3 linked regions of the Xenopus tropicalis genome follow. The protein of the gene in region 3 binds, or shares a complex with, the protein of the main gene of each other region. Links are inferred from orthologs where the notes say so. Each region holds a gene or a part of one and is shown on either strand. Other genes may lie near its edges. The genes, in order: eif3f, eif3g and eif3i.

What was found.
Region 1: eif3i (region 3) and eif3f share a complex: the UniProt entries of both Homo sapiens proteins name them as parts of the eukaryotic translation initiation factor 3 (eIF-3) complex. The link is inferred for Xenopus tropicalis from reciprocal best matches to the Homo sapiens genes EIF3I and EIF3F.
Region 2: eif3i (region 3) and eif3g share a complex: the UniProt entries of both Homo sapiens proteins name them as parts of the eukaryotic translation initiation factor 3 (eIF-3) complex. The link is inferred for Xenopus tropicalis from reciprocal best matches to the Homo sapiens genes EIF3I and EIF3G.

What each region holds. Positions count from the first base shown.
Region 1 is NC_030684.2:141,318,840-141,323,121, forward strand, and holds the start of eif3f (eukaryotic translation initiation factor 3 subunit F), read left to right. Parts: upstream 1-1,466; 5' UTR 1,467-1,476; coding exon 1,477-1,624; intron 1,625-1,753; coding exon 1,754-1,824; intron 1,825-2,392; coding exon 2,393-2,472; intron 2,473-3,626; coding exon 3,627-3,764; intron 3,765-3,844; coding exon 3,845-3,936; intron 3,937-4,068; coding exon 4,069-4,205; intron 4,206-4,282. Other genes in the region: fcrlb (Fc receptor-like B), read right to left, coding at 575-602. UniProt on the Homo sapiens protein: Component of the eukaryotic translation initiation factor 3 (eIF-3) complex, which is required for several steps in the initiation of protein synthesis.
Region 2 is NC_030679.2:137,098,120-137,102,371, reverse strand, and holds the start of eif3g (eukaryotic translation initiation factor 3 subunit G), read left to right. Parts: upstream 1-1,349; 5' UTR 1,350-1,381; coding exon 1,382-1,401; intron 1,402-2,545; coding exon 2,546-2,643; intron 2,644-3,358; coding exon 3,359-3,447; intron 3,448-4,252. UniProt on the Homo sapiens protein: RNA-binding component of the eukaryotic translation initiation factor 3 (eIF-3) complex, which is required for several steps in the initiation of protein synthesis.
Region 3 is NC_030678.2:86,496,842-86,499,241, reverse strand, and holds the end of eif3i (eukaryotic translation initiation factor 3 subunit I), read left to right. Parts: intron 1-559; coding exon 560-649; intron 650-729; coding exon 730-803; intron 804-875; coding exon 876-968; intron 969-1,055; coding exon 1,056-1,137; 3' UTR 1,138-1,876; downstream 1,877-2,400. Other genes in the region: uncharacterized protein LOC100216114, read right to left, coding at 2,143-2,400. UniProt on the Homo sapiens protein: Component of the eukaryotic translation initiation factor 3 (eIF-3) complex, which is required for several steps in the initiation of protein synthesis.

The sequences.
Region 1 (4,282 bases), on a different chromosome or scaffold from region 3:
GATTCTAGCTATCTGTATAACAGAGCATTCTGTCACAGTGGCACAGATCCTATCTGATCCCCCCATTGTAAGCAGCAGTCCTGCCCTGCTTTATGGCTGAGATTCTAGCTATCTGTATAACAGAGCATTCTGTCACAGTGGCACAGATCCTATCTGATCCCCCCATTGTAAGCAGCAGTCCTGCCCTGCTTTATGGCTGAGATTCTAGCTATCTGTATAACAGAGCATTCTGTCACAGTGGCACAGATCCTATCTGATCCCCCCCCATTGTAAGCAGCAGTCCTGCCCTGCTTTATGGCTGAGATTCTAGCTATCTGTATAACAGAGCATTCTGTCACAGTGGCACAGATCCTATCTGATCCCCCCATTGTAAGCAGCAGTCCTGCCCTGCTTTATGGCTGAGATTCTAGCTATCTGTATAACAGAGCATTCTGTCACAGTGGCACAGATCCTATCTGATCCCCCCATTGTAAGCAGCAGTCCTGCCCTGCTTTATGGCTGAGATTCTAGCTATCTGTATAACAGAGCATTCTGTCTGAAGAGATAAGGAATATAAGAATAATATGGCTCTTACCAATAATGACCAGGATCAGAGCCGCCATGCCGGCAGAAGCAGAAGGCACTCAGTGGGTCGGGCTGTATATAAACCCTGTTAGTTCTGTATTTGGCTCTATGTATAGAACATTTCACAACTCCCTACTCTTCCCAAACAGGGATGAAGGTTCCTTAACCCTTAAACCCCCCCCAGAGATACAGGACACTCACTGATTGGTTGTTTCTGATACTCCAGATTCCTAATCGTTTAGTGTGTTCTAAAAGGTCCTGTACGAAGCAGCCTGACAATTGGTCTTTTTTTATTCGACATTATTAGCCTTATTATTCTGTATCTTTCCAAAATGCTGCTTTGTTTGGGTTGGGGGGGGGGGTCAATTCAAGTTTCCCTTTATTTTTGTGATCAATAAACTTGAATTAGACAATATTTTTTATTGAAGTTTTAATAAATTACCCACAGTTGATTAAACAATTATATTTATTTGGCTTGTGAGGAGCTTCCCTCCCCTATGGCAGAGGTATATACTAAATATATACCAATATTTATATATAAATGTGTTTTTCAGAAACCTGAACTGGAAACGTCCACCTAATGGTTAATACTGAGATAGATAGAGACCTGGGCAGCTCCACATAAACATTAAACACCAGAACTCCCTGTATATAAGAACATTGGGAGGCGTACAGCCAATCGCAGCAATATTATTTTTGATGGACTGCTTTATGACCAATCACAGTAAAGCATTGCGCCTCGAAGGCGTCCCTCCGTAAGCGCCAATCAGGAACAAAGCGACGCGCCTAGCGTCGACGTTCCCGGCGTACGTGCAAGCACTTCCTGTATGTGGTCCAATCGGAATGCGGCGTTTTGTGACTCACTGAAGCCCCGCCCATGATCCCCCCTCTTGCGCGTCTGCCCTAGTTAAGATGGCGGCTGCCGGCTCTCTATCCGCGGCGGGATCAGCCATGCTGCACGGTCCGGTAGTGAAGGTCCATCCGGTGGTCTTAGCCTCCATCGTGGACAGTTATGAGAGGAGAAACGAAGGAGCCGGGCGGGTTATTGGCACCCTTTTGGGTAAGGGGGGGCCCTGGTTACCGTGGGGGGGTATAAGTGACGGGAGCCGCAGTGGGACAAAAAGGGTTCGTTGTGACAAGAGCTGTATTCAGTACTGAGATGTAACCATTGGTTGTTGTGTGATTACAGGGACGACAGACAAACACTCAGTGGAGGTGACCAACTGCTTCTCCGTCCCGCACAATGAGTCTGAGGATGAGGTTTGTACCATTAATAATAATATGTGGGGGTGTTTATTCAGGTGGGTGCTGCCCCCCCCCCCACTGGGCACATACAGCGGCCCTATGGCTTCAGTTTGGGGTTCAGACCGTTATTGGGTGTGTAGGTGTCTCCTACCGAGTCCGGGCTCTGACTCCTGAACCAATGTAGCTGGCTGGTAATTGGCTGCCTTGGGCTATAATGTGTTGGCAGTCAGTAGCAGCAGTGCGGGGAATCCATAGAAACTATATTTAATAACATTTGGGAAATGTACGTGTATATTGGGGAGTATTGGGGGAGTTTCCCCTGAATCACTTGCTGTAGCCTGAGTAGTGTGGGGGTTGGTCTGGGCCAGCGGGACACTGGGGGAAAAGCCTGATGGGCCCACCAACCCAGACCCAATCCCCACTGCCCCCCTCCCTTCCCCCGATTACACCCAGGGGAGTCTCAGATATACATACTCGGGGGAGGGCAGGGTAGGGTGAGAGTTGTGTCGGGCCCGCACACCCCATTCCTACCCTGTGTAGTGTTGCCCTGCTCAGTATTTCATGCCCTCTGTAATTACCCCAGGTGGCTGTCGACATGGAGTTTGCCAAGAACATGTACGAGCTGCATAAGAAAGTTACCTCCACTGAGCAGATTGTGGGCTGGTAAGTGGTACTTCCCATCCCCCCCTGCCCCAGTGTGTGTGGCGCCTCCCGTCCCCCCCCTGCCCCAGTGTGTGTGGCGCCTCCCGTCCCCCCCTGCCCCAGTGTGTGTGGCGCCTCCCGTCCCCCCTGCCCCAGTGTGTGTGGCGCCTCCCGTCCCCCCCTGCCCCAGTGTGTGTGGCGCCTCCCGTCCCCCCCTGCCCCAGTGTGTGTGGCGCCTCCCGTCCCCCCCTGCCCCAGTGTGTGTGGCGCCTCCCGTCCCCCCCTGCCCCAGTGTGTGTGGCGCCTCCCGTCCCCCCCTGCCCCAGTGTGTGTGGCGCCTCCCGTCCCCCCCCTGCCCCAGTGTGTGTGGCGCCTCCCGTCCCCCCTGCCCCAGTGTGTGTGGCGCCTCCCGTCCCCCCCTGCCCCAGTGTGTGTGGCGCCTCCCGTCCCCCCCTGCCCCAGTGTGTGTGGCGCCTCCCGTCCCCCCCTGCCCCAGTGTGTGTGGCGCCTCCCGTCCCCCCTGAGCCCAGTGTGTGTGGCGCCTCCCGTCCCCCCTGAGCCCAGTGTGTGTGGCGCTTCCCGTCCCCCCTGAGCCCAGTGTGTGTGGCGCTTCCCGTCCCCCCTGAGCCCAGTGTGTGTGGCGCTTCCCGTCCCCCCTGAGCCCAGTGTGTGTGTGGGGCGCTTCCCGTCCCCCCTGAGCCCAGTGTGTGTGTGGGGCGCTTCCCGTTCCCCCTGAGCCCAGTGTGTGTGTGTGGCGCTTCCCGTCCCCCCCTGAGCCCAGTGTGTGTGTGTGTGTGTGTGTGGCGCTTCCCGTCCCCCCCTGAGCGCAGTGTGTGTGTGTGGCGCTTCCCGTCCCCCCCCTGCCCCAGTGTGGTGTGTGGCGCTTCCCGTCCCCCCCTGCCCCAGTGTGTGTGTGTGTGGCGCTTCCCGTCCCCCCTACCCCAGTGTGTGTGGCGCTTCCCGTTCCCCCCGAGCCCAGTGTGTGTGGCGCTTCCCGTTCCCCCCGAGCCCAGTGTGTGTGTGGCGCTTCCCGTTCCCCCCGAGCCCAGTGTGTGTGTGGCGCTTCCCGTTCCCCCCGAGCCCAGTGTGTGTGTGGCGCTTCCCGTTCCCCCCGAGCCCAGTGTGTGTGTGGCACTTCCTGTCCCCTGAGCCGTGTGTGTTCTGATACGTTGCAGGTACGCCACAGGAAATGACATCACCGAGCACTCTGTTCTGATCCATGAGTACTACAGCCGCGAGGCCACCAATCCCATTCACATGACGGTGGATACCAGCCTGCAGGGGAACCGTATGAACATAAAGGCCTATATCAGGTACGGGGGCGCCAACCTCCCTCCCAACAAGCGTATGGGACGTTCCATTGGCTGAATGCCTCTCCTGCTCTTTCCCACAGCTCCCCGATGGGCGTTCCCGGCAAAACCATGGGCGTCATGTTCACCCCTCTCACCGTGCAGTATGTCTACTATGACACAGAGCGGATAGGAGGTGAGTGCCTGGTACCTGCGAGCCCTCTGGCGCCTCTAGTGGCAGCCGGGGTTCCAAGCCTGTAGGGTTTGTAGCTTTCATGCCCGCGATGCCCTACAGCATGTATATATAATCCCGTCTGTCTCCTCACAGTGGATCTGATCACCAAGACCTGCGCCAATCCCAACCGCTCCATTGGCCTGACCACTGACCTGCAGCAGGTGGGGGTGGCGGCTAACAGACTGCAGGATTCCCTCAGCACGGTACTGCAGTATGCCGAGGATGTACTGGTGAGTGCAGCTCCCATCACCCCCTCTGATTGGTTCTTACTCCCCGTTCACCCTTAACCCCTGTCTCTCTCTCTCGG
Region 2 (4,252 bases), on a different chromosome or scaffold from region 3:
GGACTGCAGGTGTCGGTATGTGCACGTTTGGGGGACTGCAGGTGTCGGTATGTGCACGTTTGGGGGACTGCAGGTGTCGGTATGTGCACGTTTGGGGGACTGCAGGTGTCGGTATGTGCACGTTTGGGGGACTGCAGGTGTCGGTATGTGCACGTTTGGGGGACTGCAGGTGTCGGTATGTGCACGTTTGGGGGACTGCAGGTGTCGGTATGTGCACGTTTGAGGGACTGCAGGTGTCGGTATGTGCACGTTTGGGGGACTGCAGGTGTCGGTATGTGCACGTTTGGGGGACTGCAGGTGTCGGTATGTGCATGTTTGGGGGACTGCAGGTGTCGGTATGTGCATGTTTGGGGGACTGCAGAAGGTACAGAGGGAGTTGAAATGTGAGCAGATTATGATGAGAGGGGGAAAGGGGATTGAACAGAATTTTGTAAATATTAGATCCAGGGAGTTCCCATTGGAGTGAGAGGGGGAGTCAGAGCACAGAGATAACCCAAAGGAGGATGTGAGTGAGAGGAGTTTAGAGACAGGAGGGGCATTAGGGTTGTTACCAGGTTAGTACAATGGATTTCAATGTGCTGGGGGCTGAGTTCCTCACAACTGTAACCAAAGCTCAAGCATAATGAGAGCTAGAACTCCGGCCTCATGGCAACACTGCAGCTTATGGGCCCAGCTGAGGGAAAGCATTGGACGACCAACCAACAGACCCTGCTAGTGATAGACTACACGCAACCAACAGCCTCCATTCACATTATTTATCATGAGGCCACTGAAATAATAAGGGGCCCAAGCAAATATCCGCTGTGCGCCGCCCTATAATCGGCAATAATCTATTAGCCACAGGGCACGGTAACCGCCAAGTGCCAGTAACTAGTACAAAGTGAGGGAAAAGTACTGGCACTAAATACAAGCGCTACAGCAAATCGACTTCCGCCTCCGAATTCTCGGATTAGATAGTGGAAATTGAAGGACAGCACTATAGAGCGGCACCGGAAGCGCCTCTCTATCCGCCAGCTTGAGCTTGTTACTAGCGCGCAGTGTGGAGCCATCTCTCTCTTCAGCTTCCGGAAGCGCTAGCAGCCGCGGCCCAGTGCAGCACAGACATGCCGACCGCAGACTAGAGCGGCACCGGAAGTACCTCTCTATCCGGCGGCCTGAGCTTGTTACTAGCGCGCAGTGTGGAGCCATCTCTCTCTTCAGCTTCCGGAAGCGCTAGCAGCCGCGGCCCAGTGCAGCACAGACATGCCGACCGCAGACTAGAGCGGCACCGGAAGTACCTCTCTATCCGGCGGCCTGAGCTTGTTACTAGCGCGCAGTGTGGAGCCATCTCTCTCTTCAGCTTCCGGAAGCGCTAGCAGCCGCGGCCCAGCGCACCACAGACATGCCGACCGAAGACTATGAGTATGTGCGGGGAAATAGCATGGGAGCCAAGCGGGGAGTAGGAGGGCAGGGAACACACACTGTAGTCACGGTTGGAGTGAGAGTCTGTGGCCAAATGGAGATTTAGGGGAGACGTTCAGCCTTTGGGACCCTGTGTCCTACTTTAGGATTTCCAGATGTTGGTGGACTACAAGCGGGCCCGGTCTGGCCATCTGTGCGCTCTGGCAAATGCCAGAGGGGGCGCTGTCACTGTTTTATTGGGCCTGTGGGAGCCTCTGTATCATTGAATTGCACGATTGGATCCAGTCCTGACTACAAGTCCCAGCCATGTGAGTTGTAGTTCACCAACATCTGGGTATCCAAGTGTATGTAAGGCTGGGAGAGCCATAGTGTGTAGGGTAGGGAGGTCCAACCTAGGGCTGGGCGATATACCGTTTAATACCGAATACCGTTTTTTTTTTTTATAAAACTATATTCATTTTTCAGATACCGCAATACCGGGGTGTCAGGGTACTCACCCGTGCGGCCCGGTCTCGCGCGTGTCCCGTTGTCCATGGGACGTTGCGCACGCGCGCCCAGGTGCGCATGCGTCAAAGCGCACGTACATGTCAAAGCGTGCGCGTCTATGACGCGCTGATGGCGCCGGTTCTGCGCATGCGTGGGGGGTATTTAAAGTTATCAAACGCCTCCTCCTGTGCTATGTTGTCTGCGGCCTTGCCTGGGAAACTAAGCCTGCCTGATTTACCTTACGACTTTCTGTTGCCGATCCTTCACTTGCCTGACTCTGATTTTCAATACTGCAGTAATTATTCTCTAATTTATTAGGAAATGGGGTTAACACCTAATCATGCATGGAAAAAAAAATACCGTCAAATACCGTGACACCGATATAATTTTGAAAAATACCGTGATATAAATTTTTGGTCATACCGCCCAGCTCTAGTCCAACCTGCAACCCTCTGGCTTGCAGTGTATGCTGGGAGTTCAATGGATATTACAGGCTAGCTTCTGGCTGAGAGGGGTTAGGAACTTATAGGTGATGAGTGAAACAATACTAATTTGGGATGGGATGAGCCCTCCCCACCAGGGAGGGAGCGGGTACGAGGCTGAATGCCAGGCTGGCAGATGTGGGTATCTAGTCTGAGATCTCTGTTTATCCTTTCAGCTCCAAGCCCAGCTGGGCTGACCAGGTGGAGGAGGAAGGAATAGACCCAGAACCCATAAGTCCACCAGTCACCAAGGTCCAACAAGATCCAGCCAGCTGTGAGTATTTATTTGCAGACCTACACAAGGGTATCCGGCTACAGGGGCAGAAAGGGCATGGAACTGCCTTGCGTGTCACAAGACCACATTAGACTGCTAATACCGCGTTTTTAGCCTAGCAGCTCTCTTGAAAGTCAGTGACCAGCCTGTCCAGGTTGTGCATAGTCACTTAGGTACAGTCTGACTGCTCTGATTGCTGCTGAGCCAAGAGCCTCTTATTAGCACTAAAATAGAAGGTTAATGTAAACAGTGTAATTATGTCAATAAATGTTAATTTTTTTAGCTTTAGATCCCACTTATTTCTTCCTCTGTTGACTTTTCAGCAGTGTAGACAAAGCAGATAGCCGAACATTCTCAAACTTTCTCATTTAGTGCTCCTATAAAGTCCTGTTTTGGGTAGTGGAGCTGAACTGTATATTTTAAATTAGAATTCCACTCACTACAGTTACCCCACAGCAACTGGAGGCCCACCGACTGAATGTGGCCCTCCAGATATGCTTTATGGCCCCCAGTCTGCTTTAAAGCTCTATGGAATTCACTGTATGAAATAATTTTAATGTAATAATCCAAACATTGTATATGAGAAATAATTAGCCCACTACATGCAATAAGCTGGACAGCTTTACCCCACAGTAATAGCTGGCTGAATTTAGGCCTTGTTGTGTGTATGTTTGAGCAGGCTGTCTGTTATGATTATGATTTTACCCCCCCCCAGTTGTTCTGGACACTCCTCAAGAGGTCATCAATGGTAAAATCAAAACTATCACAGAGTACAAGCTGAATGATGAAGGCAAGAAAATCAAGGTAGGGACAGCGCATTATTATTGGTGGGGAGGGCTTGCACTTTGTTTCATTTTCATACTCTGTGTACTTATGGGAGAAAGGCTTACATCTGCTACAGATGCTATGAATGCAGTATGTCTTTTATTATTTCATAAGGTTCCTTATCCCTGACAACATGAAAGCAAAATGTTTGAATATATTTTCTGTGTTTTTTTTTTGTTTTTCTTTTTAGCTTCTGTGTTAAATTATTATTGGCTAAATGTCTCTTGCATTCTAGACAGCCGTGAGTTTTTGTAGGTTCATTTATACAGACTGCCTAAGGACATGTCAGTGTGTATATATTATATACTTGTTTCCTATGCGCCTAGTGTGGCAAGATAGTGGTCACTGGTTTATTGAGGAACTGGCTGAATATAGGCTAAAGCAGCAGATCCTAGATCTCTGTATTTATCCTGTAGAACGGCGCTGTTCAACTGATGGCCACAAACAGCCCGCAGGTCCATGTCTTGTGGCTCAGTGAAGCTCCAAGGAATTTATGCAGATTAATTATTAAAGCATATTCTTTTATCAATTGCCCCATCCAAACTGGCAAGTACATGATGATACAGAGGTTGGCAGAATGAGGCATAGGAGGAAATAATGAGATTGCAGAAACGTAGGGTGAATGGGTAATAAAGCTGCAAAGAAAAAGGAGAGTAGAGAAGAGAGAGGTAGATATACAGTGGAGGAAATAATTATTTGACCCCTCACTGATTTTGTAAGTTTGTCCATTGACAAAGAAATGAAAAGTCTCAGAACAGTATCATTTCAACGGTAGGTTTATTTT
Region 3 (2,400 bases):
AAGACAAAAAAAAAAAAAAAAACATAAAAAGTAATATTGAAGAGCAATTGAAAAGTTGCTTAGATCTGGCCATTTTACAATTTACTAAAAGTTAACTTAAAAGTGAACCACCCCTTTAAGGTATTAAGAAATGCCTTCTCCTTTAAACAAAACAGGGATTGTTTGTCCATATGTTGCAATAAATTCAAACTGACCAACTACATCAAAAACATTCTTGTGCTGGCCAGTCCTATGCTCAATTATCTTATTCAGTAAGAATTCTAGTGGTTCATTATACATTTTTCAGTTTTACCTAAGTCTTACCTGTACATACAAGGATTAAATGGTGGCAGCGCACTCCCAAAAGAAAGTCAGTGGCGCAGGTGCTATGCAATATAGCAATATGATGATAACTGAGCACTTGTGTGGCTTAGAAAATAAGTGAAAATATTTATTGGTGTTAAACCAATGTTTCGGTCCTACACTTTGAAACTTAATATCATATCTTTAACACGTACAATTTCAATAACCCTTCAATAGACTTTTTTCAGTTTCTATTCATCTACTGTATTCTTTACAGCTGTTTGACAGTACATCACTTGAGCATCAGAAAACTTTCAGGACTGAAAGACCTGTTAACTCTGCTGCCATCTCACCCATATATGACCATGTAAGTGTTTATTGTGAAATGTAAATGCCTTGTGCCAGTATGTAAAGATTCTGTTGCTGACATGTGCCCCTGCTTTGTAGGTAGTTTTAGGAGGAGGACAGGAAGCTATGGATGTAACCACAACATCAACAAGAATTGGAAAGTTTGAGGCCAGGTAAGTCAGAGTCCCTCCTGACCAAACCTATAGGCTTTACTAGGCCACTTTTTAATTTCCTTATCTTTTAAGGTTCTTCCATGTGGCTTTTGAGGAGGAGTTTGGCAGAGTAAAAGGCCATTTTGGGCCTATTAACAGTTTGGCATTCCATCCAGATGGCAAGAGGTAAGTTAAGGTGACGTTAGTAGCATAGAAATGTACAGTTTTACCTATCAGGAATTTATTCCTTTTTTTTTTTTTATGCATCTTTAGTTACAGCAGCGGAGGAGAGGATGGATACGTTAGAATACATTACTTTGACCCACAATATTTCGACTTTGAATTTGAGTCGTGAGACAGCTGCTTCGTGCTTGGTTATATCCTACTTCACATCTTTGCATACACACACACACACACACACACACACACACAATTGTATTGACTGCTCAATGATATCTTTACAATAAATGTTACTATATTTATTGAAGCAAAATAAACATACTTTGCCACTGTTCTTTCCCCACCAAAATGTTTCACATACATTTATCTGTGGGAAGGAAAATAACACAATGCATTTTTAAGAGATAGTGACACAAGAAATCTACTGTAACACTTTTTTTGCATGCTATTTATAATTTTGCCTTAAAAGTATTTGGCCAATGCTTTTACATTACCTATGTCATCCCCCTTTTTCCTCTGTGAGGGGGCTGCAGTAGTCTTTTAGCATTTAAAACTCTGACAGGTTGGTAAAACAGTCATATTGAGGATCTTCAAGTAACCATTGCTTAGAAAAGCAGACTATCAACTAGAACTATAGGTAACTTTTACTGTACTTTAATATTTGAGAGTAGTTTTTTAGTGTCAGTATCACTTTAATCATTGGGTGTGCTATACAGAGAGGGCTCAGTAATTACATCCTTTAATTCACATGCAGCTTCTCAGGTTGGAAACATACTGCAATTATCATTAATCCAGGACAAAGCAACAGGCATGAATTTCTATTAAATGGATTTATGCTTTGATGTCAGGGGTGGTTTGTATTTTCCCTCTGAAACAACATCTGACAGTATGAGAAATAAACTGCCTTTAACTTATCTTTGTGTACTACATTTGTTTAGATAGCCATTTGTACCTTTTTGTTTCCCCTCCAATCTTTTGATATACTGGACACGTGGGCACTGAGACTTTATTTTAACCTCTAAAGTTATTGTTTCTGTCGGAGGCATTTTTTATGCTCCTGTGAGCTCAACCATCTTCATCCATGCCATTTCTGTGTGTTCTAAGGGTAGCAGGTATCGAAGAAAGAAACCTGATGAGATAAAAAAATATTCGTTTTTAGAACCCACATTACTACCTTGTATTATATACTACTTATTGATAATGTATCTAAAGCGCCAAAATATTCTGCAGCTGTATACATTGAATATACAACTTGCATACAAAAACAAGAACTATACAAGAGGTACCTTGTAATGATTTTGCAGCTTGCCTCACCTGCCCATAACTGTAAGCTTTGTGGTGCAACAGAAGGCCAGATAACTAAAGGATTTTCTTGATATATTGGATTCAGAAGCTGCTGTCGCTCTTTTGGCTGGTTAAGGTGACCCCACAGCGAGTG